Oryctolagus cuniculus: one gene and its partners. The protein of the gene in region 4 purifies or fractionates together with the protein of the main gene of each other region. This does not show direct contact. Links are inferred from orthologs where the notes say so. Each region holds a gene or a part of one and is shown on either strand. Other genes may lie near its edges. The genes, in order: NOP58, NOP56, CSNK2A2, NOLC1, TCOF1, ARRB1 and ARRB2.

Region 1 (4,235 bases), on a different chromosome or scaffold from region 4:
CTTAGTGGAGGGGCTTTCTGGCCATGGAATTCATAAAATTCCTCCCAGGACTCCACCAGCACAGGGTTATTGGATCTCATAGCCCCCTTTGGAGCAGGCCAGAAAAGATTCCCCTAAGCTGCTCCAGGGAGAGGGCTGGGACCCCTATAAGGTTATGGAACAAGGACGAGACTTTTGATGCGCAAATGCTGGTTCACTTCCAAAGCTTACTTCCACATTTCTTCCCTCATTCAGCCACAGAAAAATTCAGCCCCTTGAACACACATAAGCTAATGTCTACCTGGATATCTAATCGCTTGATTTTCCCTCTCTTTATTTGTTGACTGTTATTCGGTCAAGGATTTCCTTTCCTCCTGATCCCAGGCTGTAGAGTTGCTGGAGAAAATCAAGTCGCTGGGTGTTCATAATTTTGAGCAGGCTGCAATGTAATATTTTGTTGTTGTTGTTGTGTTTTAATTTCTCAAATGTTTCATGTTTTTATTTAGCTTTCTGACTCCGTACTTGTGCCTTCAACACTTGCACTAAGATTTTCTGCTCCTCCTTAAGGAAGGCACGCTTGATCCTGTCGCAGACATATTTAACACACATGGAGCCACCAAAGACACTGCTGACATGGGTTTTCGTTTTAGACAACCTCATCGGAACTTTTAGGTCTCCCAGCTCGAACCCCTCGAAGTTTGGGCACACGCCATAGGCAGAGTTTGGTGCCTTCCCAATGCAATGTAGTTTTTTTTTTTTTTTTTTTTTTTTTTTTAAGATTTGCTCATCCATTTGAAAGGCAAAGTTACAGAGAGGCAGAGGCAGAGAGAGAGAGGTCTTCCATCTGCTGGCTCACTCCCCAAACGGCCACAATGGCCAGAGGTGTGCCGATCCGAAGCCAGGAGCCAGGAGCCAGGAGCCTCTTCTGGGTCTCCCACGCTGGTGCAGGGGCCCAAGCATTTGGGCCATCTTCCACTGCTTTCGCCAGTCCCAGCAGAGAGCCGGATCGGGTGTGGAGCAGCGTCCATATGGGATGCCGGCACTGCAGGCGGCAGCCCCTCAATGCAATGTAATATTAACAGAAAATCTGCACATAGGTCTTGGGAAGTCAGGAAGTATATTATACTAATTATATTGACAGGGAGACCTCGAGATCATTTTAAACAACCGCAGTAAACACGGGAGACGTTTGCATACATCAGAAAGAAATCTGCTAAAAATCAGTTTGCACGTGCAGAAGAGAACGGCCAGGAGTGCTCGTAAACACAGTGACAGTCCAGTTCTCATTCTGACGCCCTCACTTCCAGGCAATTTTTCTCTTTAGAACTGCGCACGGTCAGGCGGCGCAAAAACTCAGTTCCGCCCCTAAGACATCTCGCGATATTTTGAGGTCCCACCTCCCGCCCCCTATGGCGGGAACATTCCGGAAGTGGCCCCACTCTAGGCAGCAGTCAGCTGCCGGAAGTGACGTCAATCCCCCAGAATCCTTGGAGAAGGAGGAGCGGGTTCCTGCGTTCCACATGCAGCACAGCGTGGAATCTCAGCGTAACGCGGTGTGATTCTCCGGGAGACGTGCGCCTTTGTGCTTTGCCAGCCGCGGCTTGGAGCGCTTTTTGGGGGCCGCGCGTTGATTCTTGTGCATTGGTATAAAGCCCGTGGCGGGCCCTGCGGCCCCCTGACCCGGCTTCACCATGTTGGTGCTGTTTGAAACATCCGTCGGCTACGCCATCTTTAAGGTAGGTGGGAGATTGAGCCGTTGGCCAGGGAAGGCTGGTTTGGACTGAAGAAGAGAGGGTCAGACTTAAGGAGGGGATGAGACTGCCTAGGATCGCACGGGAGCTTTTTAGGGCCCCGGGCTCTGAAAGGGGAAAAGTCTGAGAAGGCCTGTGTTTCGGTGGTGAACACGTGGCCCCGCCGTTTGGGGCGACTCGTCCTGCGTTGAGGGGTTTGGCTGGGTTCAAGACGTGGACGGGAGCTGTGAAGAGTTTTGCAGGTTGTGAAAAGCCGTTAACATTCTATTCTGGGCGTTTTAAAGATGGATCGAAAGCTTTTAGGAATGACGATATAATGTGCCTTTTAGTAAGGTGGTTTTTCTGTGCGGATACTAGATTGTGGGGAGGTAAGAACCGAAGCAAGGATATTTTTTGCGTTAATTGAGGAAATGAAATCGCTTTGGATTAAGGTTGGGTATGGGGGGAAACAAATAAGAGAAATTCTGAGTAGAACTGACAAAATTGACCGATGGATTGAAGGTGGTCTTGGGGTTTAAGAACTAAGTTTGCATACATCAGAAAGAAATCTGTGCTAAAAATCAGTTTGCACGTGCAGAAGAGAACGGCCAGGAGTGTTCTTAACCACAGTGAATGCTGTGGGGAACCCTAAGATTTAGAATTTGGGCTGTGTGAAGCTTCCCTTGTCTGTTAGAATGCAGTTGTGTAGATCAGGTAATTCGGTGTTTCAGATTTGAAGCTTACGGGAAGATCTGGGTTGTGATAATTTGAGATTTGGTTGTTTGAGTAGGGAAAGTTTGGAATTAAAGAGTTCCTCAGACGGAAATGGGTGAAGAGCGGGCCCTGCCTGCGGTGGGTTGCTGTTGAGATGTTAGAGTATCTTAGGTTGAGGGCTTGCCATGTGCCGGGCGCTCTTCTGAGCTCAGCAAATACAGCACCGAGCCAAAAGCAAATTTATTATATACATATTATTATATATGTGTGTGTGTTGGTAGAAAGCCAAAATTGCCTTCCAGAATATGTATACTACGATTCTAGTTGTGACTCAAACTAGTCAAGTGTTTGTAGTTTGGATGCGGAAAGTGTACAGAGAGTTTCTCCTAAAGTTTCACTTGTGACTTTTTTTTACACTTGCATTTGATATTTCAAATATTTGTTGTTTTTAAGAAAATCAGACAAATAATGGTTTTAAAAAACGGCAGTTTTGCTTGGTTTCTTTCATTGGACTCTGTAATTGCAGTCCTGGCGAGAGCTCTGGAGCTTGTCTGTTGTGCTTTTCTCCAGTTTTGGGGGAATTTTATCGGAATTATGTAGGATTCTGCGGATGTCCCCAGTTCTCTGAGCCGGTGTGGTCTGTTATATTTTGAGTCTGTCTGTCAGTTAGGTCCATTGTAAACTTCCTCATTGTTTTCTTGCCATTTACTTCTCTGCAAGTTACCGTTGGAAATCAGGAAATTGTGGTTTATGCAGCAAAGTATATTGGATAAATAAGTTGGGCTTGAACACAACGAAATGTTGATTAATTTATAATTGTTTGGAATGGATGTTGATTTTGAATAAATATAAATAGAATTATACAGTAATGGACAATTTTGTGAAAAGGAATCCTACATTTTGAGAAGGGTAAATATTACAATATGGGAGTTCTCAGAAAAAGGTGTACATAATGTACAAGGTTATTAGCTTCCTTTTCACGTTCTTTCAAAATCCAGGTATCAGATTATATTGGTTGCATGAAATTCATGCTTTGATAATTCTGTAGTTTTTTCACTTCAATTAGGACCTAGTACGTACCTACACATTTATAGTGATTCAGAAAAATGAGACTCTAAGAAATTTCTTATTGCTCATTGACAAAATTGTATATATGGATGCAAAGACAGCATGTAAAAAAACTTAGTTACTTTCAGAATATTAAAAAACCCAACCTGTGTCTTGTGTCATATGGCACACAGTATAAGATTAGACAATCTTTAGTTTTGTTAATCTCAGACTTTTAGCTGTGCTGTCCACATGCAGTTATTGCATGCTTGAAATGGTGGTATGGCTGCAGAAGTCTAATTTTTAATTCTAACTCGTTTAAATCTTACCTTGTACTGTGTGGCTGTGTAGTTTGTGTAGCATTGTTTCTTTTTCTCAAGGCTTAGAAGAAGAGGATTTTGGTGTGTATGCCAAATGTTCAGATATAACCTGCTTACTGAGCAATGTTACATGCTATATAACCCACCTTGTGTTTTAGTAAACTTTGTACAATTATGTCACCTCTACAATCTAGTTTTTAAACACTTCATTCCAAAAAGTTCTCATGCCCATGTTCATGTCAGTCTCAGCTTTCTGTATAATTGTGTTTCTTCTAGAGATTTCACATATGTAGAGTAATATTTTAGTTTTTTGTGATGGGCTTTGTTTACTTGTCTTGATTCTTTTTGAAGATAACCAGTATTGCATATGTCAGTTTGTTCCTTTTTGGCAGTTCACATTTTAAACTATTTTATTGCTTCATCCTGTGCTCAGACGAGTTTCAGA
Region 2 (4,031 bases), on a different chromosome or scaffold from region 4:
AGGTAAGTGTGTAGGCTCTGGCGGTACTCAGACAATGACACCACACGGCTGGAGAAGCTCTCGATGTTGATCAAGTCGATGGCAGAGATGTCCATGCCTAGAAACACCCCAGTGTGAGTGCAGGTGCCAGCTGCTCGGAGCCCTCCCCCCGTACCAGCTGTGAGGCTCTGTGCTGACCCATGGAGGACCGGGAGGCATCCAGAATGGCCTTGGCCTTGGCGCCATCCATCGTTAGCTCCTCCAGCTTTTCCAGCTTGTCCTCGTTCAGCTCCTTTCGGTTGCCGATGAACTGGGCGAGGCGGCAGTACGTGGCGTTGTCATTGATGATCTTCACCAGCTCCGGAAAGTGATAGCCGTACCACTCCCTGCAGAGACACAGTCCCACCTGGTTCTGGCTCAGCTGCCGCAAGGCCACAAACGCACCCGCCTCAGCCCTCGCCACCCAACTCGGCCTGGAGCAAACAGGGACAAGCCCAATGCCGGTCCCCTCAACGCCTTGTCCCCCCACTCACAATACAGCCCAGGCACGATGAGGCCAGAGCTGAGGTGTACATGGGGAGGGCCTGCTCTGCCTCCTCCTTCTATACAGTCAGTGTAAGAACACAGCCTGTGGTAAGCACCAGGAGGCCCAGCCCACACTCGCCCGACCGGCGTTGCAGAGGCTCGCGGTGAGGGGCGGCCTCTGGCTGTTACCTGACGCGCATGGAGAAAGTGTTGATGTCTTTGTCCAGCTGGTCCAGGAGGCTGATGGACTGGATGATCATGTTGTCCACCCGGTTCACGTTAAACTTCACTTTGGCCCGAGAGTAGCTGTGGCCCAGGCCCAGCTGGGCTTTACACGCAGACACATCGGTCAGCCCCTTCACCAGATTATGGAAATGCAGACGGACTCCTGGGGCAGCCGACACGGGAGCGTGAGCGAGCCAGCTCCGGCACCCCGGGCCCCTCCCAGGAGCGACCTCGTGGCTCTAGCCAAGCCTCACCGCGCAGGATCTCGGCTATCACGCCTCCAGTCTGGCAGCTGTAGCCCAGCTCCTCTTGTATGGCGGCACCAATCTTGGGGTCCCCAACCCCTAAGAGCACTTTCTTCTTCTTGGACGGCAGGTGAGTCTCCAGCAGCAGGCGGAGGTCCTCGTGCACGACACCTCAGGACGAAGAGCAGGGCGCCCACTAAGTGGCTGAGGGCCGAGGGATCCCGCCTCCCCGGGCGTGTGTGGCCCAGCCCTCCCTGCAGGCATTGCTCAGAGACATGGAGACATCAGTGACAGGACTCAGGGGATTGACAGATTATTTTGAGTCATCATTGCAAAGCCTGGCTGAACCACGAGAAACAGGACACAGGCCAACAGCCCAAGTGGGACACACACCTCAACTGCAGGGGACACCCAGTGGATCCCAGACCCCAGATATGTGTGTTTCCCAGACATACCTGGGATAAAGCCCAATTTATGAATAAGGCAATTTAAGACATTAGCTAACGAAGAAACCGTATAGTAACTACAAAAGTCACCAACTGAAATCTCATTAAACCAAGTCTGGACTGGCGTGGGAGGTCCTGCTGTACAGCGCTGTGCAGTGGGCTAAGCCTCCGCCTGCAGCGCCGGCATCCCCTATGGACGCCGGTTCGAGTCCCGGCTGCTCTTCTTTCAATCCAGCTCCCTGTAGATGGCCCAAGTCCTTGGGCCCCATTTGGAGTGAACCAGCGGATGGAAGATCTTTCTTTCGGTCTCTCCCTGTCTATATCTCTACCTCTCAAATAGTATCTCCTATCCCAATTTGCCTTCTGGGACCAACACCCTTGTAATTATCAAAAGTGCCCCTTCCGACAGATTAAAAGACACAGCAGAAAATTAATAAGACAACTAATCGTGTCTAGGCAAACTTGGGCACACGTGCAGGTTAAACCAGCCACCAGAAAAAACACCACTGATCGCTAACTACAATGCTCAAAGAAACCAAAGCCTACATCGTGGGTTGCATGCGTGAAATGCACCTTAATCACAACAAGCCAGCTGACCCCGGGCGGCGACGCCGACTCACCTTCCGACACCGCGTTGGCATTTTCCAAGGCGACCTGGGACGAGGAGAAGGGCGAGAAGGCCACGAGGCGCACGATGTTGTGAAACTTGCCCAGGTTCAGCACGCTCTCCTCCACCTGCCGAGACAATGAATGGCGCGGCCGGCGGCCGACGTCAGCCCCCGGGCGCCAGGAAGACGCACCGGGGCCGGGCTCTGCTCTGGGACGCTCACTTCCAATGGCTCCTACCGCGACCCCGGCCACGCGACGGGCTGAGGACCCCCGCCCCGCAGTCTTCCGGGCCGGCCCCTCCAGCCCGCGCGGCCGGCCACGTGGGAGCGCGCGGTGCATGCCGGGGGCGCGCGACCGAGGGGCTGCAGCGCAGCCGGGCGAGCCCCCCGCGCCCACAGAGACCACCCACCTGCGGCAGCAGCAGGCTGATTTCCTCCACTTCCTTCAGCGCCAGCAGCGCGTAGCCGACCGCGTGCTCGAACAGCACGTGCAGGAGCACCTGGAACGGCAGCCGGGGTGCGGCCGTCAGCTCAGCCCCTGCGTTCTCCCGGCCACACTCCCAGGACACACCGAGGCCCGGGCTCCGGCATTCGAATTCGGATTCGAATCCAGGCCCAGACCACGGCCTCCGCACAAGCCCGCGACCCGCAACCACTCCTCACCATGGCGCCTGCTCCTTGCCCGGCTCGCAATGCGGCTCTCTGGCTCTGGCGCGCAGAACCAGGCTCCAGAGGACACGCCCCCCGTCGGGTCGGCCAATCAGAGGCCGAGGACGGCACTATCTCAGAGCCTTCGCAGGGGGTCCTCTGGGAGTGGTATCGCCCAGAGCGCGAGTCGCGGTGGAGCGGCGCGCGGACGAACCGGCCTTTTCCGGTCTCTGCGGCTGCGCGGGCGGGCGCGGTTGCCCGGGACACGCGGGATCGGTAAGGCCCTGCAGGCCGCAGGCCTGCGTGGAGGGGCGCTTTTTCGGATAATGGTCCGATGGCCCGTATTTTCGTAATTTGTGAAGCGGGGGCAGGAGGATCCCCGTGGGCGCAGAGCCCGTCCCACGCCGCGTGGCTGCCCTCGGCCTCCAGGCCCGCCCGCGCGCCCACGCTCCCGGCGCCCACTCTCGGACAGCGCCCCGAGCTCTGTGGGCTGCGCGCTGTCTCCTCTCCGGGACGCGGGACGCCCTGGCGCCGTCAGCGCCGCGAACGTGGCTCCTCGCAGCCGCATTGCCGAGTTATATGTAACTTAGTTCTAGGGCCGGATGAGTGTCGGTCGGTAGTGTAGGAACGGAGCGACCCGACCCCGAGTCCTCGTGGAGCGGTCTCGCTGGCCCGGGGCCGGCCGGGTGTTGCTCGCGGCCCTGAGGCCCGGGAGCCGCTTCTGGGGGTCTCTGGGCGACGACTCCCCATGCTGCAGCCGCGCTAAGTAATGAACTTAACAAGCCAGGCCTGGCCACCCCGAGGGAGGACGAGCACGCCCTTCCACCTTGGGCTGTTGAGCCGCAACTAGCAGGCGCGTTCACAGCTTTAGTGGACCTCAGCCGTCTGACAAATTCCCCCTTTTGGGGTTCCATGTGGTCAGGACCTCTTAATCATAATAATCTCTGTTGTGCCCCGATCACTAGATCCCCTAGAGAGTCTATCACACCGAAATGCAGATCACCAGAGACCCCCCCCCAGGGAGTGGATCACACCGAAATGCAAAAGCAAGGTTTATTGAATACAAGCCGCGACTGGGACCCCAACCAACCCACCTGCGCAGCCGAGTTAGGAGGGAGGCCCCGGTCTTCGTTTGGGAGAGTTAAAGGAAACACCCACAGGCTTCCATCAGCGGGGGCTTACAGCACGGAGTTGCTCTTAATTGAACGGGGGTCTCCGGTTGGCTTGGGTTCAGGGAGCTACTTTATTTAGCAGTTTCTTCTGAGCTGTCCATTCCAGCTTTGATGTCTGGAATGCCTGAATGCTTTTACAAAGACTCGGGTCTGCTACGGAAACAGAGGCTGCTTTTTTTTATT
Region 3 (3,500 bases), on a different chromosome or scaffold from region 4:
TGTTATCTGGAGAGAGTGGTGAGCCAGGGTAATTTAAATTAACAACAGCAAAAAAAAAAAAAAAAAAAAAAAAAACTCCAGGTGTTCTGCTCTAGAAGGGACCTTTTAGACAGCTGCTGAAACTAATTTTTTAACGAGTGCACCTGCTCACATTTTGTTTGTGGCCATATAATCATTGCCTGTGTGATGAAGCCTTGTTCTCTGGCACTGGCGCCTGGAAACCCTCCTCTCACGCGTTCTACTCCTGTCGTGTTTGCAGCTACGACTGATAGACTGGGGCCTGGCAGAGTTCTATCATCCTGCTCAGGAGTATAATGTTCGTGTAGCCTCGAGGTATTTCAAGGGACCAGAGCTCCTTGTGGACTATCAGGTAAACTTGTTAGTAGAGCTTCTTGGGGTTTTTTTTTTTTTTTTTTTTTTTTTTTTTTTTTTTTTTTTTTTTTTTTTTTTGACAGGCAGAGTGGACAGTGAGAGAGAGACAGAGAGAGAAAGGTCTTCCTTTGCCGTTGGTTCACCCTCCAATGGCCGCCGCTGCAGCCGGCGCACCGCGCTGATCCTGGCAGGAGCCAGGAGCCAGGTGCTTTTCCTGGTCTCCCATGGGGTGCAGGGCCCAAGCACCTGGGCCATCCTCCACTGCACTCCCTGGCCATAGCAGAGAGCTGGCCTGGAAGAGGGGCAACCGGGACAGAATCCGGCGCCCCAACCGGGACTAGAACCCGGTGTGCCGGCGCCGCAAGGTGGAGGATTAGCCTATTGAGCCACGGCGCCGGCTCTCTTGGGGTTATTTTGAAACTTCTTTGGGGCTTTCCCTCTTTGCTGTTTATTTAGTCAGTTTAGGTCCTTCCAGAACCCAGCCATTATTCTACCCCCCAAAAGCAACTTGCAGATTTTTTTCGGGTACTTTTTTTATATGAGGAGAGGCAAGCTTTCAGTTCTTAAATAACCTGTAAACGCAGATAAGAGATGCTTAGCAGAGAAGCGGGTTTCTGACACTGTTGATCGTTATTGCCTCAGATGTATGATTACAGCCTGGACATGTGGAGTTTGGGCTGCATGCTGGCAAGCATGATCTTCCGAAAGGAGCCTTTCTTCCACGGGCAGGACAACTATGACCAGGTGAGCGGACGCCATCCACTTCTGTCTACTGGGGCTGAATGCCAAGAAAAGGACGTCTGGACTGTTGCTGCAGTGTAGTGGTTTAAGCTGCTGCTGGCTATACCTGCTATATGTCCACGGGTTCACTCCCCAGATTGCTGCAACAGTCAGGGCTGAGTCAGGCCAAAACCAGGACCTTCATCTGGATCTCCCATGTGGATGGTAGGGGCCCGAGTGCTTAGGCCATCTTGCTTTCCCAGGCACATCGGCAGGAAGCTGGATCAGAAGTGGAGCGGCCAGGACATAAACCAACCCCTATATGGGGATGCTGGCCTTTGCAGCCCAACCCACTAGGCCACAGTGCTCTACTTCTGATCCTGCTCTCTGCTAATGTGCCTGGGAAAACACTGGAAGGTGGCCCAAGTACTCGGGCCCCTGTACCCACCTGGGAGACCAGAGTTCCAGGCTCCTGGCTCCTGCCTGGCCTTTGCAGCCATTTGGGAGTGAACCAGTGGAAGGAAGATCGATCGATTGCTCTTTCTCTGTCTCTCTTCCAAATAAATATATAAATAAATACATATTTAAAAAAAAATAATGTCCTTAGTGAGGAATGCTATTTTTGAGCCACTCACTAAATAGCAATGTCTGCATATAAACGTTTCTTCAAGGTAAAGAATGTCTCAGTCTTCTCTCTGGTTACAGAGACAGATGATGTCCTCTGTGCTACACTTGCCAAGTGATTTTATGAAGCAATTGGGGCCCCTCCTTGACTACTAACAGCAGATTCTAGATTGATACTCCCGTGATCATGAGCTTCCAGTAGGGTGATAGGCATTTATGTGGACGTCATGTTCTTGGATTTGTCAGCCCACATTAGACTCAAATCTGTATCTGGGCCCTGGAGGCCTGGTGGTGCGGAGTCTTCTGGCTCCGCTGGTCCTGTGTCCTCACAGACTTGCAGTCCGAGTGCTGTGCTCAGTGATTTGGTCAGCTTGTTTTATGTTTCAGCTTGTTCGGATTGCCAAGGTTCTGGGTACCGATGAGCTGTATGGGTATCTGAAGAAGTATCACATAGACCTAGATCCACACTTCAATGATATCCTGGGACAGTAAGTAAGGGGGGGGGGGGGGGTTGACCTCACCCCATTTTGGAAGCGGGAAGGTTAGCCAAAATCACTTTTCTTTCCCCTTCCTACTTGTACCAAAAGTGAAATGCTCTTTTTTTTCCCCATGTGTATTTTGAGATAACTTGGGCATGATATGTATCTTCTAATCATTTAATTTCTTCAGGATATAACTTGTGTTTGGATAGAAGATAGAAAATAAAATCATAGTGTTAGAGAAAACTTTCTGGTACAGCATGTGTTTATTTTAATGGCAATCTTAGAAAGCTGTGATTGTTCTTTGAATAAGAGATTATTAGATTTTCTGTGTTCTCTATAGCATATTTGAATTTCCAGGTGCAATGCCATCATGTTGAAAAGTTTGACAGTTTCCAATAAACAGTATATTTTTTGGAATTTTTGTGTTTCTGAGGTTAGTCTCTAAATATGTCTCCTGACCAGTAAATATAACTCAGAATAACCGCCTGGGGCATAAAAGATTACTGAGAAAGGTTACAAATTCTAAATAAAATTTTGAGATTTTGACTAGTTCTTTTGAATCCCAGGGCACTGTTTTGTGTCATGATGCTATAATATGACAGTGGGGGGCAGGGTGGGCACCCGTGAAAATGAGATGTAGCAGGATCGTAATGAGCCCAGGGTTCCATGATTTTGTTGACTTTGGCCCTAATAGGTGAGGGCTCTTGTACTCTCATTGGTATTCTGAGTCATGGTCTAAGAGTACCAATGCTTCCTTTTTCTTGTCAGACATTCCCGGAAACGCTGGGAGAACTTTATCCATAGTGAAAACAGACACCTTGTCAGCCCTGAGGCCCTAGATCTTCTGGACAAACTCCTGCGATACGACCATCAACAGAGACTGACCGCTAAAGAGGCCATGGAGCACCCGTACTTCTGTGAGTCACCAGGGACTGGGGTCCGGGGTTTATCTTTCACTCGAGGAAAAATCTTTCCCCCTTTATCTTTGAGACCGCTCAAAGGCATTCTGGCTCTTTGGATTAGATTGTTGCAGTTTGACCGCATTAGTCCTAGACAGCTGAGACAACTTTGCAAATTGGTTTCTTGATCCCCAGAAGTATTTGCTTGTTCACAAGCTGGAGCTCCCTTGGGTGCAGTCTATTTGACAGTTTCCTAGCCCCTCAATTAATAGACCCCAAAGATGTAAAAATTTGTTTTCAAACATATACATTAAGAAGCAAGTAATTAGAGGTGAGCGTTTGGCACGCACATCCTGTATGTATCAGGGTGCCAGGATTTGAGTTCCCTGCCTCACCTTCGTAT
Region 4 (4,087 bases):
TAAGATTTATTTTATTTATTTGAAAGACAGAGTTACATAGAGAGGTAGAGCCACAGAGAGGTCTTCCATTCCGCTGGCTCATTTTCCAAATGACTGCAACAGCCAGAGCTGAGCTGATCCAAAGCCAGGAGCCAGAAACTTCTTTCGGGTCTCCCACACAGGTGCAGGGGCCCAAGGACTTTGGCCATCTTCTGCTTTCCCATGCCATAGCAGAGAGCTGGTTTGGAAGAGAAGTAGCCAGGACTAGCTCTGGCGCCCATATGGGATGCTGGAACCTCAGGTGCCAGCCCCCAGGCAACATTTTAAAAATCAGTCATTTTGGGGCCAGCACTGTGGAATAGTGGGTAAAACTGCTGCCTGCAGTGCCACCATCCCATAGGGTACAGGTTAAGTCTCAGCTGCTCCACTTCCAATCCAGCTCTCTGCTTTGGCCTGAGAAAGCAGAAGACGGCCCAAGTCCTTGGGCCCCCACACCTGCCTGGGAGACCCGGAAGATGCTCCTGGTTCCTAATCGGCACAGCTCTGGTCGTTGTGGTCAACTGGGGAGTGAACCAGCAGATGGAAGACCTCTCTCTCTGTGTAACTCTGACTTTCAAATAAATAAACAAATCACTAAAAAAAAATTTTATTTTACCCTGAAATAAGGGCACAAACACTAATACAAGTGGGAGTTTGCTTCAATGTGAATTATTAGAAACAAGCCTCCAAGAGAACACTGGTGGACACTGTATACTGCAAAGAATGGTACTCAACCATTAATTACTCTGATACAGATGAACTGATTAAGAAAAAAAAAAGAGTGACAGTACATAGAAGAGTACAGGCTCAGAGTCAGCTGAGTATAGGAATAAAGTGTGTGATCTTGGGCAAATTAACCCAAAATTTTTCTTTCTATAAAATGGAGATAATACTACACATCTCAGAGAGGATAACAGATAAGGTATATATGGGGCCGGCACTGTGGCGTAGCAGGTAAAGCCACCACCTGCAGTGCCGGTATCCCATATAGGTGCTGCTTCAAGTCCCGGCTGCTCTACTTCCGATCCAGCTCTCTGCTATGGCCTGGAAAAGCGATGGAAGATGGCCTCAGTCCCTGGGCTCCTGCACCCATGTGGGAGACCCGGAGGAAGCTCCTGGCTTCAGACTGATGCAGCTCAGGCCGTTGCAGCCATTTGAGGAATGAACCAGTAGATGGAAGACCTTTCTCTTTCTCTCTCTCTGCCTCTCTGTAACTGTACCATTCAAATTAATATATAAATCTTAAAAAAAAAGTGATAAGGCAATAAGAACTTAGCATTTAGCAACAGCATCCAGCCCTTCGTTAACTCTGCACAAAGATGAGCTTTTGTCATATAAAACCCAGGAATATTAACTGTCCATTGTGGAAACACTCCTGGCAGTCTCCTTATCAGTCAACTCAAAGCAGTTCCAGTAAGCAAGTAGTTAGATCCCTCGGAGGGCTGTTCCAGTCTTAATAAATTCTTCCTATCACTGATCTGATCGCCTCCTGTTGCAATCCACTCTGACTGCTACAAAGAACTAGTTATCTTCTTGGTTCTATCATCTGCCTAGGACTACCACTCCATCTCTTTCCGGGTGTTTTCTGATGCATGTGTCAGCTTTTCTTTGAGATGTAGATTTTATAAATCTTTCTCATTCCAGACCACCTTGCTCTTACAGGTGTTTGGAGCATACTAAATTGCCCTAAGTATGAATAACAACTTTTACTCATCCATGCACCAGACTGAGATTGCCACTTTGCATATTTTATCGTACTGATATTCATAAAGATCCCACGAGGTGAACAATAACTTCCTGCAGAAATAAGGACAGGGAGGTTAATTAAACTGCCCAGGTCACACACCTTGGAAGTGGCAAGGCCTGGTCCCAAACATAACTTAGTTTGAGTCCACTAGCCAAAGTTCCTGGCCTGCTCCTATGTCTCCTTGGTAGGGCTGTTTGCTATTCAATCCTATACTCAAATCATTACAACCAAAAACGGAATCCTACCTCTCTTTAGCAACGAAAATCCCAGGCTTTGTTCCTAAAGCAATTTCATTTATCTGTGAGGCCAGGGAAATTCGACCGAAACTATGGTCAAATCACACACTGCCTCAGCCAAGGAGCACCCCCTCCCAAAAGCGCCGCCAATGCTCTCAATGGGATACGGCGTTCGCTCCTCGCCGCACTCTGCGAGCCACGTGACCTCGACCACGCGGGTCCCACGCCGCTGCCTCTCCACCGCGAGGAAGCAACAAGACAGTGTTACCTACTCAGACCTCGCAAAAGGGACTCCGGGGCCATGGGCTTTCTCCAGCCACTGCCGACTGATCGGAACAAAGACCTCGCTAATGCTGGGCTGGTGGACCCCACACACCTGCTCGTCAGGAAACCTAAGCATGCCAGGGCCTGGACCCTGTGCCCATCCCGCCCCGGCCCGCGTCCGAAGCCCGAGACTCACAGCGCCTGTCGCTTTGGCGAACTTATTGGCCACCTCCGAGAGCTGGTTATCGCGCAGAAAGCCGAGCACGAGGGGATACAGGTCGCTGGGAACCACGCGGCGCAAGCCGGCGTCCGCCATCCTCCCGGCAGTACGCGTCACTACCGTTGGCGACGCACCTCGACCTAGGAACCCGAAAGGCGCAGGGGGCGGGCGCGTGACGTCACTTCGCCGCGCGGGCGCAGAGCGGAAGGGGTGGGACTCCACAGGGCAGTCCTGACCCCACCCCGCAAGCGGGGTCAAGGCGAAAACCCTATGCTCCTTCCGGTCCAACGCAAATCGCCATCTTGGTAAGGGTGGAGTCCACCGGCCGCCGCTTTTGTGAAGGCGGAGCTCTGACGTCAGGGTCACGCCCTCGGCGTGGCGGGAAAACTCGGGACTTCCCGCGCCTTGTCTTTGGGCGGGAGGCATCCTTTCCGAGTGTGGGTTTCCCGCGCCTCAGCTGGGACGTGGACCACATTAGTGACTGGACCCGTGGGCCCTCGGCTCTTTAGACAGGGTCACAGAGTTCCCAGCTGCCCCCGTTCCCGATGCCCGTGGTTCCATTCTTCATTTTCACCGCAGCCGACACATAGTGAGGGTCCTGGTAATACCACCCCAGCCTTTCAATTCCCCTCTCCACTGCAGAGCCTCCCTCAAGTTACCAGTTGTTTGGGGGAAGGGGCTGGACGTGTTTTGATTCCCAGAACTGCTCCTCCCTCAAGTCATGATTTTTTTTTTTTTTTTTAATGTGCTGACTGTGGGTTCATCATACATTGCTCTGATGGTTTTGAGGACTGTTCCTTTTTTTTTAATCTGAGGGGCCGGCGCCATGCAGTAGCGGGTAAAGCCAATGCCTGCACTGCCAGCATCCGATATGGGCACCGGTGCAAGTCCCAGCTGCTCCACTTCCAGTCCAGCTCCCTGCTAGTGTGCCTGGGAAAGCAGTAGAGGATGGCCCAAGTCCTTGGACTCCTGCATCCACGTGGGAGACCCAGAAGAAGCTCCTGGCTCCTGGGTTCAAATCGACCCAGCTCTGGCTGTTGTGGCCATTTGGGGAGTGAACCAGCAGATGTTCACTCTTCTCTGCCTCTCTGTAACTCTGCCTTTAAAATGAATCTTTTTAAAAAATTTTATTTGAGAGGCAGAGTTTGAGAGGGAGACGAGAGAGAAAGCTCTTCCATCCCCTGGTTCACTCCCCAAATGGCCACAATGGCCAGAGCTGGGCCATCCAAAGCCAGGAGCCAGGAGCTTATTCAGGTCTCCAATGTGGGTAGAGGCCCGAGCACTTGGGCCATCTTCCACTGCCTTCCCAGGTCATTAGCAGGGAGCTGGATCAGAAGAGGAGCAACTGGGACTCAAACCAGAGCTCATATGGGGCTTAACCTACTATGCCACGGCAACAGCCCTGACTTGGTTCTAAGACAACCTTCCTCCTTGCCTTATAGGCAGGTTATGTTTAGTTTAACTCCATGAAAGGGAAAAGGTTGGTACAACCTTAATCACACAGCATTAATCCCTTCAATCTACAGTCCTAAAAATAACCCTTTTTCCTTCTGGGTCAGAAGTCACCCACCCTGGGAACTCACCCACCAGGTTCTGGGCCAC
Region 5 (3,500 bases), on a different chromosome or scaffold from region 4:
CTGCGCGAGGACCTTCAGGGCAGCCTGGGTCAGCGGGAGGGATGCTGGGTTCCTCTTTGCCACCTGTGGATAGCAAATAGCAGCCCTGAAATTCATGGGTTCTTGGGGTGTCACCTAGGCCGTGCCTGGATCAGACTAGGTCTGGCTGCGGTGGGAGGGGACCATGGGACTTGAGTTGGGGGGCTGAGGGACAGTCATAAGAGCAATATCACTCTCTAGGCAGAGAAAGGAGTGCCAGGCCTCAGGTTATGAGCTGGTCCGTGTTCTCAAAGCACAGAGCGAGCTTCCTAGGCCAAAGCAGGGAAGGGGCCCGGGCCCTACAGGAAGCTCCACACTCAGTCTCTGCCCTCCTCGGAGACCCATCTCATGCCTCGTGGTCTCCCTGGTACCACTCCTACTTCTTCCACCCACCAGCACTTGGAGAGAACTCAAAGCTGGGAGAGTCCTTGCAGAGGGCCTCAAGGTTCCCACGCAGGGCCCCTCAGCTGTCGCACAGCCCCTCTGCCTTTGCTACTTTCTCCCTACCTTCTCTTAGATGCTTTCCCAGGCCTGGGGTCATGGCACCATGGCCTTCCTGCCTGCATGGCACCCCAGCACACCCTGTACGCGGCCACGTCCCCTGCTTCAAGGCCACCTCCCGGGCGAGCATTCCCTGCCCAACTTCCTATAGCAGGTCACCCCATCATCCTGAGCTTGCGCTTGGTGCCCTCTGCAGCACCTCCAATTTGGTGAGAACTTTTTGTTTAATGGCTGCTGTCCTCCCCGTCCTGCTCTGGCCTCAGCCCCAAGGCCTGGCATGGAGGGATACAGGGTTTTGGGGGCTGTGACCCCAGCCTGGCTACCCACCCAGCACCCATGCTCCCAGAAACTCTCCCTGGACTGTGGCTCGTGAAGAGCCAGTGAGAGGGGGGCATGCCCAGGTACCAGTGCCTCAGAAAGAGGCATGGAGTCTGCAGTGGGCATCTCTCCAGGCGATGGGCAGCAGACTAGTATGGCCAAAGATGCTGAGGGCCAAGAGCTAGGTCTGCCGAGCCCAGGCCCGGTCAAACTGGAGGCCCCTGGGGAGTGCACGCTAGTTTCAACATTGAGATAGTGGGCCACCAATCCTGCCCTGCGCAGTCTTGAGATTCAGGCAAGGACCAAACACGCACTGAAATGGTGACTGTCAGGGAGACTGATAAAGTCACCATAACACATGCTTAAGTAGAGCATTTATCATGTTCATGCAAAGAAAACAAAAATGCAACTGGCCAGCAGAGCTGTGTCCCCAGACTGCTCTTCCTGACAGCTTAAGGTGGCTCTGAAACCTGCGGGCTGTGGCCACAAGACCAGGAAGGCCTTGGCTACTGCCACCGCCGGGGTGCACAAGTGTGCAAGTGACAGCCAATTGTAGCCCCTTGCCCCACAGGCCTGTGCAGGTACCTGCGGGGCTGGTGTCTCCTGCTTCTTGCCTTCTGACACCCGACTGCTCTCCTCGCTGCCGCTGGCCCCAAGGCCTGTCCTTGGGTGGCCAGTGGGCACCACGCTGGTTCTGTAGGCTGAAAAAGAGAGGGATGGGGCAAGTAAGTGCCCAGGAGCCCCACGGCCTCCCCAGCACTGGCAATACCCCAGTCCAGCACTCAGCCCTTCCTGGGGCCCTGTGCCACGCTCAGGGCTTCTACAGGAGGAAGCTGGCATAGCCCCTCCTCGAGCCTGCCAGGCGGGCGCTGTCCCTGTGTCACAGCTGGGCTGAGGGGGCCCGAAGAGCTGCTATGGCAGTGAGTTTCTTTTCCTCCGCTCGCCTCTCCGCAGGCCAGGCTGCTGCTCCTGAGCAAGAGGCTGGCAGGCGGCGGCCAGGGCCGTCCTTGTGGCTGCAACATCTCACGAAAATCGCCCAAAGTGTCTGTGGTTGCGTGCTGCTCACTGCAGCAGCGGATACAACAGTCCCCACCAAACCCTCGCGTCCTCTGACAGGGCACTGGCCAGGAGGAACCACGCGGGAAGGATAGGAGGACCAAAATCCCACAGCATCCCGAGATAGCCACTCAGAATCCCGGGGCCTCACTTTAAAGACAAACATGTCCACCCTAGGGTTTTGTAAGGTTAGCAACTAAACCCTCAACAGTGATGGGGGCAGTGGGATTACAGGGGGTGTTGTCTTCTTTTGTGCTAACCTGTATGTCTCAACTATCTCGCCAGTTATCAGATATTACTTCCTCGTAAAAGTGTAACATCAACAATGGTGACATCGACCATTTTCTTGCTATCACTGGTAGAAGCAAAGAATCTCAGAAGTCAAACCCCAGAGCTGGTCCTGTCTCTGCTGACGCAGTCCCTCCCCGAAGAGTTCCTGTTTAGGGATCACCTAATGAGACAAGTGCCTCAATACCCTCCTGACAGCCCACTGATACAGCACCCTAGCTCCAGAGGAGCCTGGTCCGGGCAGCTTCCAGCCAGTGGTCTGGGTCCCATGCCTGGGGTGGCCCAGGGAAGTCCTGGCAATTACTGCTCCAGGGCCACAGGTGAGCCAGCCTCGCATCCAGATGCCTGATGCAGAACCTGAAGGCCGAGCCCCAAGCCCTGCTGACCAACACCTGGCTGTGCAAGAGGCCCTCGTCCTGTCCCTCGATGGGGGTGGTGCTGCCGGGCCCTCCCAGCCGAGCCTGGGAAGTCCAGCACGGGAGTCAGCTCCACGCGGGGCTGTGCTCACCAGGAGCCAAGGACTGCGTGGCGGGGATCACGTCCTCATCCTCGGTGTCTGAGGAGCTCTGGGCTGAGCTTTCCGAGGCCCGGGTCTTCCTCTGGGCGCCCGCAGCCTGGGCCTGTGCGGGGGCAGCAGCCGGGCCAGCTGGACTACGATTAGGGTCGACAAAAATCAGAGGGGGTTTAATCACCTTGAAAAACAAAAACAAAACACACCCCCTAGTGATTAAAGGCTTGGTCAGAGGAAAGGGAGGTGGGGTGGAGAAGGGTTTCACAAGGCAAGGGGTCCAAAGAGCTGGGGGGTACCCCCAGCCCAGCACCTCCCAGCCCACAGCAGCCCATCTGCCCTCACACTGAACTCCCAGGGTCAGTGTGGTACAGTGGGAAAGCCCAAGTCTGCAGGAACAAGGACGGCTGCCCGAAGCCACAGAGCAAGGCCACTGGGCACAAGAGCCTATTTAGCCTGTTTGCCTCTGACCGTCTTCAGAGACAGCTACCCCCGAGGCGGGCCGAGCAGCGTTCTCCACGGCTCCCAGGTGTGGCGCACAGTCTACCGGGGAGGCCTCCACAGCCCAGCTGCCCCATCCTGGGAACACTAGGCAGCATTCCCAGGACGCGGCTCCCCAGGGACACCCACCTCACTTCCCAGCAAATAAGCTGCCCAGGGGACTGGGCTGGAGAGTGGGGCAGCATCCAAAGCTGATGAACGAGGGGACCAACTGTCCCCCGACGTAGCACCCAGTGTTGGGACTCTTACTGAGCACCCCATCACGAGACCATCGGGGAAGTGGGGTGCTGTCTGGGTGGGTCCCTTTCAG
Region 6 (3,500 bases), on a different chromosome or scaffold from region 4:
AACAAGGCAGGTGGTCCTATGGGTCCAGCACCAACCAGGGAGAAGGCCAGGACCTGGGGACAAGAGGGCCCTGGACCAGAGAGATTCCCCTGGGGTGACCTACCTTGCCCGTGTCCTCGGGCCCGGGCTGCAGTGTCACAGAGCATGGCAGGTTTGGAGGAATCTGTTCAGGAGACAGAACGAGCCACTGTCACCCGCACTCCTGCCACTCCCACACATCATCACACCAGGCCCTTGAGAGCCTGTGCCTGTCCCATCAGATGAGGGCCCCGAGGACAAGACACGTCTCCCCCATCAGACTAGAGGCTCCCGAGGACAAGCTGGGCCTCCCCATCAGACCGTGCCATGCCATGCCTCCCGCAGCCCTGTCGTCGCGGTCATAGCAGGGAAGGAGGCTTCCTTGGCGTCTGCTGCAGAGTGACGGCCCCCAAGGCTGCCTGCCCCCTGCTGCCCCCAGCCTGTGGCTAGGTCACCTTCCACAGCAACACGACTCTGCAGCTGCGACTGAGTCAAGGACCTGGGATTGTGGGGGAGGCGGTAATCCAGGTGGGAGGGGGGGAGGTGGTAATCCAGGTGGGAGAGGCAGTAATCCAGGTGGGGGAGGCAGTAATCCAGGTGGGGGGAGGCGGTAATCCAGGAACACGGCCACACCAGCACCCAGATCCAGGCCCGGCAAGACCCATATCAGACTTGCAGCTGCCAGAGCTGTGAGATCACCCACGTCAGCTGCCTTAATCGCTGTGGGTAATCGCCCGGGGCCTGCGGGGCAGTGCAGGAAACTCACATCCGCACAGAGAGACGCCCGCAGCCCGCCTGGCTCTAATGCCCACAGCATGGAATCAGCCTAGGAGCTCGGCGTTCTGGAACCCAGAATCTGGGTCTTGGAATCGGCAGGGGGCAGGGCAGGGCATTGGAGCTGGGAGGCAGGCGGGCCCAGCGATCTGGGGCCACACAGCACAGTGCTCCTTCTCTCTGCGGCCCCTGGGTTCCCCTCCCTCCTACTCAGCGGGGATCCCACAAGTAAGGAGGACGCTCTAGCAGTGACCAGAGAAGAGACAGGTACCAGGTCACGTAAGTGCCCCAGGGCCCAGCATACGTGGGACAAGTGGGTGACACGGAGCAGCTGCCCCCTTCCGCCCTTCCAGAAGGGGCCCGAGGGTGGCAGTCCCTGACCTCAAAGGTAAATGGGTAGGCGTGCTCGCCCAGCTTCTTGATGAGCCGCTCCTGCAGCCGCGTCAGGGGCTTCTTGTCCTCAGGGGCCGGCGGGAAGGACTGCACGTTGGCCACAAACAGGTCCTTGCGAAAGGTCAGGCCCAGGACGTCCAGGTCCTCCCGGCCATAGCGGAAGGCGCAGGTGAGTGTCACATAGACTGTGGGGGAGCAGGGGCCACTGAGGAGGGGCCTGGAGAGCAGCAGGGAGCCTCCCCCACCCAGAGCTCCCGCTGCAGCCCGGCGGTCACCCATCTCCCTTTGGAGAGGCCAGGACTGGGGGCCTGGAAGGGCAGCCCATGGGCTGTGTGCCTGTGGGTGTGTTGCCGGTGGCTATCTCTGTCCCACTCTTGCCTGGTTGGGGTGGGGGCACAGGGAGTGGTCTGATGGGCAGTGAGGGCTGGGGCTGGTGGGCAGGGGACAGCAGGGGAGGGCGAGCTAATGCTGGGAGGTGTCTGCCAGGCATCTCGTCCCTTCCTCCCGCTGACCCTGCAGAATCCCTTCCCCTCCCTGGGGCCCTGTCCTAACTCCTGCTCTGTCGGCATCCCCAGCCCTCACTGGTGTGAAAGGGCTGGGGCAGGAGGCCCCACTAGGGATGGGCAGGGAGTGGCAGTGGGATGAGCCGGAGGCCCCCTGGGAGGCCAGGAGGTCCCTGGACAGAGGAGGCGTGGGAGAGGGGCCCCGTGGCAGGTGGGGGTGGGGCTGCAGCCTACCTCTCCTCTCTTTCAGGTATTCGGGATCCACCAGGACCACACCATCTGCGAGAGCACAGAGAGAGTGACCTTCCCAACCCCTGAGCCCCAAATGCCACCCTACACTCAATCCTCCATCCACCCAAACGCACCATGAGAGAAATGGGAAGGCCAACCCCGGGGGCGGCACCCCAGCCCCAGCCCCACCAAGCCCTCCCCTCCTCTCCCCCAGGTCAGCGGGATAGACCCAGCTGACTGGGTGGCTCCGGGAAGATTAGGGACCTCTCCTCATCTCTAAGGAAGAGTAATGACATGAGGCGGAGGGAGTGGGGCGCTGTGGCGCAGGGGGTTAAGTCACAGCTTGTGATGCCGCATCCCTTATCCGAGTGCCTGGAATTGAGTCCCGTCTCTACTTCTGGTCCAGCTGCCAGCTACGTGTACACTGAGAGGCAGCAGAGGATGGCTCAAGTGCTTGGCTCCCTGCCACCCTAGTGCAAATCTGGATGGAGTTCCTGGCTCCCGGTTCTGGCCTGGCCCAGCCCTGGCTGCGGTAGTCCTCTGGGGAGTGAACCAGTGGATGGAAGATCTCTATCACTCTCTCTCTCTCTCTCTGTCATTCTGCATTTCAAATAAATAAATCTTCAATAAAGAGAGGACAGTGACACAGGCTGGGAGACCCCAGGACCACACTTCGGAGCGGGGCAGTTCTGACTAGCGCATGTTCCATAGGTCCCACACTGTGCTCACAGGGCAAGCCACTCCCCCCTCCGCAAGGAAACCCAAGGCCGTCTGTTCCTGGCCCCAGCATTCACTCAGCAGTGGCTGCACAACAGGGCGGCCCTGTCAGGCAATGCCACCCAGGACACAGCTGCCTCAGCTTCTGCATGTGCACGCAGTGACGTCACCCAATGACACATCAGAAGGCAGACGCGCCACTGCGTTCACCCCTACCCCTCCCAGGCCAGCTAGGGCCCAGCCTCCCATCAGTTCCGGTCAAGTTCCACAGATAAACGAACTGTGCATCATGCCGAGGGACAGCTGCGGGACTTTCGAGCTTCTTGCATTTGGGGTTTGTGGGTCAGGGGCTGTGATCTGCATGGCTCACTCCCAGGGCTCCTGGGAAGACTGACTGGGGACACTGTGCAAAATGTCACACGTGTGAGCCACCCGGACAGAGTTTGGCAGGCGTGAGCCCTGTGGCCAGTGAGCGAGCAAGCTGGCCCTTCAGAGCACAGGCTCCAGCCGACCTGGCGCCAGCTCCCCAGGAGCCCAGAGACACTGGCACAGGGGCAACCTCCCGCCTCACCCATGTCTGTCTCCTCTCTGATCCCCACGCCCACCCCGGGCTGCCACAGGGCCACTCGTGATCTCAGAGGCTCTGGCTGGAAGTGAGTGCCACCCTGGCAGCTCCAAGTGACAGGGCACTGCCCACACACCTTCCCTCTGTTTTGTTTTTAAGATTTATTTATTTACTTCAAAGGCAGAGTAACAGAGAAAGAGAGGTCTTCCATCTGCTGGTTCACTCCCCAAATGCCCAAAACAACCAGCACTGGGCCAGGCCAAAGCTGGGATCCTAGAACTTCCATTCAGGTCTCTCAT
Region 7 (2,830 bases), on a different chromosome or scaffold from region 4:
TCACAGGGGAGGAGGTCTGGGCTCCACCTGCTCATGGGCAGGAAGAGCGTGGAGCCAGCTGGCTGCGGAGGAACCCCCTTCTCGGTGGAGACAGTTCAGGAGGGACTGCACCCCCCCACACACCTGACACTCGCCCAGGCCTCGCCTTCTCCCCCTGACACTAGGACCCGGGGCTGTTCTCATACTCACTCCTGCTCGAGCTGGGCCACGGGACACTTGTACTGGGCAGTGCTGAAGAGGCAGATGTCGGCGTACTGTCTCACTGTGGGACGGGCGAGGTCAGGCAGTGCCACAGCCCCGGGCCCCGCCCCTACTGCTGCCACGCCTCCCAGGCCAGTCTGGGGCAGCATGGACTCTGTGCACCCCAGTGGGTCTCTCAGGCTGGGAGATGGCCTGGGCCGAAACTGCAGCAGCAGCCACGGAGTCAGTGACACGCGCCTCCCCCAAGAGCCCCTGGCAGCCCCCACCTCCTACCAGAGACTTTGATCTTCTTGACGGTCTTGGTGGAGTTGTTGGTGACATGGACATTGACATTGAGGGGCTCCCCGTGGTAGTACAGCTTTGGAAGGGAGAGTGCCCTGTGAGCCCCGCCTGGGCCTTCACTGCCCCGTTCTCAGCGTGCTCCCAACAGAGGCACACTGCTGTCCTCCCCCAAAGCCAAGCCCACAGAGCTTCTCCCCCCACCACTGCGGCCGCTTCTGAAAGCACCTCTACACCTGTGGCTGGCTCCCCCCTCCCGCCAGGGTCTGGCCTGCTCTGTGGCACCTGCGCCGCCCCCTCGCACCCCACCTCCTTGTCCAGGGAAGCCTCAAGGTGCAGGGACCGGTCAGACATGAGGAAGTGGCGTGTGGTTTCAGCCGAGGGCTGGGGGCCGGGCTTCTCTGGGGCAAACTGCACTTTGCGGATTACCAGTCGCACAGAGTTCCTGGGGGGCGGGGAGGAGCAAGTCCTCAGATCCCTGAAGTCTGCACCCACCCCCTAGAGGGGCTGGGGCAGGGGGGGCTGCAGGGAGCAGCGAGGGAGTGGTTCAGCCATGGAGGAGGCTGCTTCCCTCACCTTTTGTGGCTTTTCTCTTCTAGAGATTTGGCACAGAAGGCTCGAATCTCGAAGTCTACCCCGCAGGCCTGGGGGGTGGGCAGAAAAGGCAGCCTCTTACACAAGGCCCCCGCCCCCCCCCCACTTCTCTCCCTGTCCCCCCTCTTGGGCTGGGGTGCTCCTGCCCCTCGTGGTCCGAGGAGCACACAGGGTCTCCCTGCTGTGCCTCCCCCGGCACCTGGCAGAGGCTTGGTCATGGCAGTGCACGGGCAGGTCAAGAGAGCAGGGGGCAGTGACCCCACGGTGTCCCCATTCCCACAGGGGACAGTTCCCTAGCAAGCCACTCCTGTACCTTCCCCGTGTCCTCTGGTCCCGGCTGCAGCGTGACGGAGCAGGGCAGGTTCTGGGGTATCTGCAGCAGGGGAAAAGGGGAGGCTTCAGCCCCCCTAGAAAAGACCCCAAACCTTCCTCCCAATCTCAACATCAAAGGCTGGAGGAAGGGAAGGGCCCCAGAGAGGAGGCCAGGTGCAGGGCTTCCTGGATACGGGATGACTGACGGAGGTGGACCTGTCCGTGACAGGCACCTCCCTGCCCCTGCCCCTGCCCCACCTGCACACACTTCCCAGGTCCCTTGCCCTGCAGAGGGGGTGGGGCATCCTCACTGTGAAAAAAAAGGGGTGGGCATGCTGGCCCAGCTTCCTCAGCAGCCGCTCCTGCAGGCGGGTGGGGGGCCGGGGCGGGCTGGGCGTTGGCGGGAAGGCCTGGTAGGTGGCGATGAACAGGTCTTTGCGGAAGGACAGGCCTAGCACATCCAGGTCTTCGCGGCCATAGCGGAAGGCGCAGGTGAGGGTCACAAACACTGCAAGGGAGGGTGGGGGGTGCGGTGAGGAGCACCCCGTCCCAGGAGACTGGCCCGGAGCCCGCTCCCAGCTTCCGCCTCAGCCCTCCATCTCTCTGGGGTACCCTCCGATGCCAGCCCATGCCACGTGGGCCAGTACCTTTGCGGTCCTTCAAGTAGTCAGGGTCCACGAGCACCACGCCATCTGGGGAGGGACACAGGGATCACTGTCTGACTCACTCTCGGGGAGCGAGCAGCCCCTTCCTCGCTGGGGACACTTACCGACGGGGTCCACTTTGTCCAGGTGGTCGACAAAGTCCCGCTTGCCCAAGTACACGGTGAGCTGAGGATGTCAAGGGGTCACAGGGAAGAGTGGAGAGCATGGTGACAGGGCGTCCACCCCTCCCCCAACCCCGGGGCGCCTGCCCCGGGCTCTCCAGCCTGGGCTTTCTCTAGTTTTCCTCCCAGCGCTGTTGAAGGGTGAGGGCGCTGGGGGTTCCCTGCTGCCCAACCAACTTTTGGGCTATTTTGCTGCTCCCTAACCTCTCATCACACCTGTCTACCAGCCAGGTGTGTGTGTAGGTGTGTGTGTGCGCGCGCCTCCGCAGGGAGGACCAGCTGGTTAGATTTCAGCTGCCAGCCTCCAGGGTGCCCCAAGGAGCTCTGGGATAAACAGACCATCGCCTGGGGGTGGGGTAGCTGTTAACTTTTCCCAGCCCCAGGCCCTCTGGGTTGGCTCCTGGGACAGCTACAGGTACAGGGCTGGCTTCTGGGCTCCTCCCCTTTGGCCTTGCTTAGGGACCCAGGCTTGGCCCCAGCAGCCTTGTGGCCAGGGACTCCAGGAGGGAAGGAAGTCAGCTCGGGGCTGTCACAGGAAGTGGGGAGCTAGGGCCGGGGATGGTCTAGGGGCAGACCGGGCCCAGGGAGGGTCAAAAGGTTGGATCAGCAGCGCGGGAG

The links.
Region 1: the proteins of NOLC1 (region 4) and NOP58 fractionate together in Homo sapiens (co-fractionation; 3 studies listed by BioGRID, with this or other methods). This does not show direct contact. The link is inferred for Oryctolagus cuniculus from reciprocal best matches to the Homo sapiens genes NOLC1 and NOP58.
Region 2: the proteins of NOLC1 (region 4) and NOP56 purify together in Homo sapiens (affinity purification with mass spectrometry; 6 studies listed by BioGRID and IntAct, with this or other methods). This does not show direct contact. The link is inferred for Oryctolagus cuniculus from reciprocal best matches to the Homo sapiens genes NOLC1 and NOP56.
Region 3: the proteins of NOLC1 (region 4) and CSNK2A2 purify together in Homo sapiens (affinity purification with mass spectrometry; 5 studies listed by BioGRID and IntAct, with this or other methods). This does not show direct contact. The link is inferred for Oryctolagus cuniculus from reciprocal best matches to the Homo sapiens genes NOLC1 and CSNK2A2.
Region 5: the proteins of NOLC1 (region 4) and TCOF1 purify together in Homo sapiens (affinity purification with western blotting; 4 studies listed by BioGRID and IntAct, with this or other methods). This does not show direct contact. The link is inferred for Oryctolagus cuniculus from reciprocal best matches to the Homo sapiens genes NOLC1 and TCOF1.
Region 6: the proteins of NOLC1 (region 4) and ARRB1 purify together in Homo sapiens (affinity purification with mass spectrometry; 4 studies listed by BioGRID and IntAct, counting the BioPlex papers as one, with this or other methods). This does not show direct contact. The link is inferred for Oryctolagus cuniculus from reciprocal best matches to the Homo sapiens genes NOLC1 and ARRB1.
Region 7: the proteins of NOLC1 (region 4) and ARRB2 purify together in Homo sapiens (affinity purification with mass spectrometry; 5 studies listed by BioGRID and IntAct, counting the BioPlex papers as one, with this or other methods). This does not show direct contact. The link is inferred for Oryctolagus cuniculus from reciprocal best matches to the Homo sapiens genes NOLC1 and ARRB2.

What each region holds. Positions count from the first base shown.
Region 1 is NC_091434.1:37,711,662-37,715,896, reverse strand, and holds the start of NOP58 (nucleolar protein 58), read left to right. Parts: upstream 1-1,435; 5' UTR 1,436-1,670; coding exon 1,671-1,715; intron 1,716-4,235. UniProt on the Homo sapiens protein: Required for the biogenesis of box C/D snoRNAs such as U3, U8 and U14 snoRNAs. Part of the small subunit (SSU) processome, first precursor of the small eukaryotic ribosomal subunit.
Region 2 is NC_091442.1:28,154,815-28,158,845, reverse strand, and holds the start of NOP56 (nucleolar protein 56), read right to left. Parts: upstream 2,801-4,031; 5' UTR 2,695-2,800; coding exon 2,692-2,694; intron 2,529-2,691; coding exon 2,439-2,528; intron 2,156-2,438; coding exon 2,041-2,155; intron 1,310-2,040; exon of another isoform or gene 1,238-1,309; intron 1,146-1,237; coding exon 984-1,145; intron 893-983; coding exon 694-892; intron 630-693; exon of another isoform or gene 495-629; intron 366-494; coding exon 178-365; intron 98-177; coding exon 1-97. UniProt on the Homo sapiens protein: Involved in the early to middle stages of 60S ribosomal subunit biogenesis. Required for the biogenesis of box C/D snoRNAs such U3, U8 and U14 snoRNAs. Part of the small subunit (SSU) processome, first precursor of the small eukaryotic ribosomal subunit.
Region 3 is NC_091449.1:41,524,230-41,527,729, reverse strand, and holds part of CSNK2A2 (casein kinase II subunit alpha'), read left to right. Parts: intron 1-259; coding exon 260-370; intron 371-1,014; coding exon 1,015-1,116; intron 1,117-2,103; coding exon 2,104-2,204; intron 2,205-2,966; coding exon 2,967-3,115; intron 3,116-3,500.
Region 4 is NC_091446.1:27,777,595-27,781,681, forward strand, and holds the start of NOLC1 (nucleolar and coiled-body phosphoprotein 1), read right to left. Parts: upstream 2,801-4,087; 5' UTR 2,582-2,800; coding exon 2,462-2,581; intron 1-2,461. UniProt on the Homo sapiens protein: Nucleolar protein that acts as a regulator of RNA polymerase I by connecting RNA polymerase I with enzymes responsible for ribosomal processing and modification.
Region 5 is NC_091437.1:37,672,035-37,675,534, reverse strand, and holds part of TCOF1 (treacle protein), read right to left. Parts: intron 2,874-3,500; coding exon 2,690-2,873; intron 1,539-2,689; coding exon 1,423-1,538; intron 64-1,422; coding exon 1-63.
Region 6 is NC_091432.1:66,421,641-66,425,140, forward strand, and holds part of ARRB1 (beta-arrestin-1), read right to left. Parts: intron 1,968-3,500; coding exon 1,923-1,967; intron 1,371-1,922; coding exon 1,174-1,370; intron 164-1,173; coding exon 104-163; intron 1-103. UniProt on the Homo sapiens protein: Functions in regulating agonist-mediated G-protein coupled receptor (GPCR) signaling by mediating both receptor desensitization and resensitization processes.
Region 7 is NC_091448.1:51,501,635-51,504,464, forward strand, and holds part of ARRB2 (beta-arrestin-2), read right to left. Parts: intron 2,217-2,830; coding exon 2,156-2,216; intron 2,079-2,155; coding exon 2,034-2,078; intron 1,895-2,033; coding exon 1,698-1,894; intron 1,448-1,697; coding exon 1,388-1,447; intron 1,125-1,387; coding exon 1,057-1,124; intron 926-1,056; coding exon 790-925; intron 560-789; coding exon 475-559; intron 263-474; coding exon 190-262; intron 1-189. UniProt on the Homo sapiens protein: Functions in regulating agonist-mediated G-protein coupled receptor (GPCR) signaling by mediating both receptor desensitization and resensitization processes.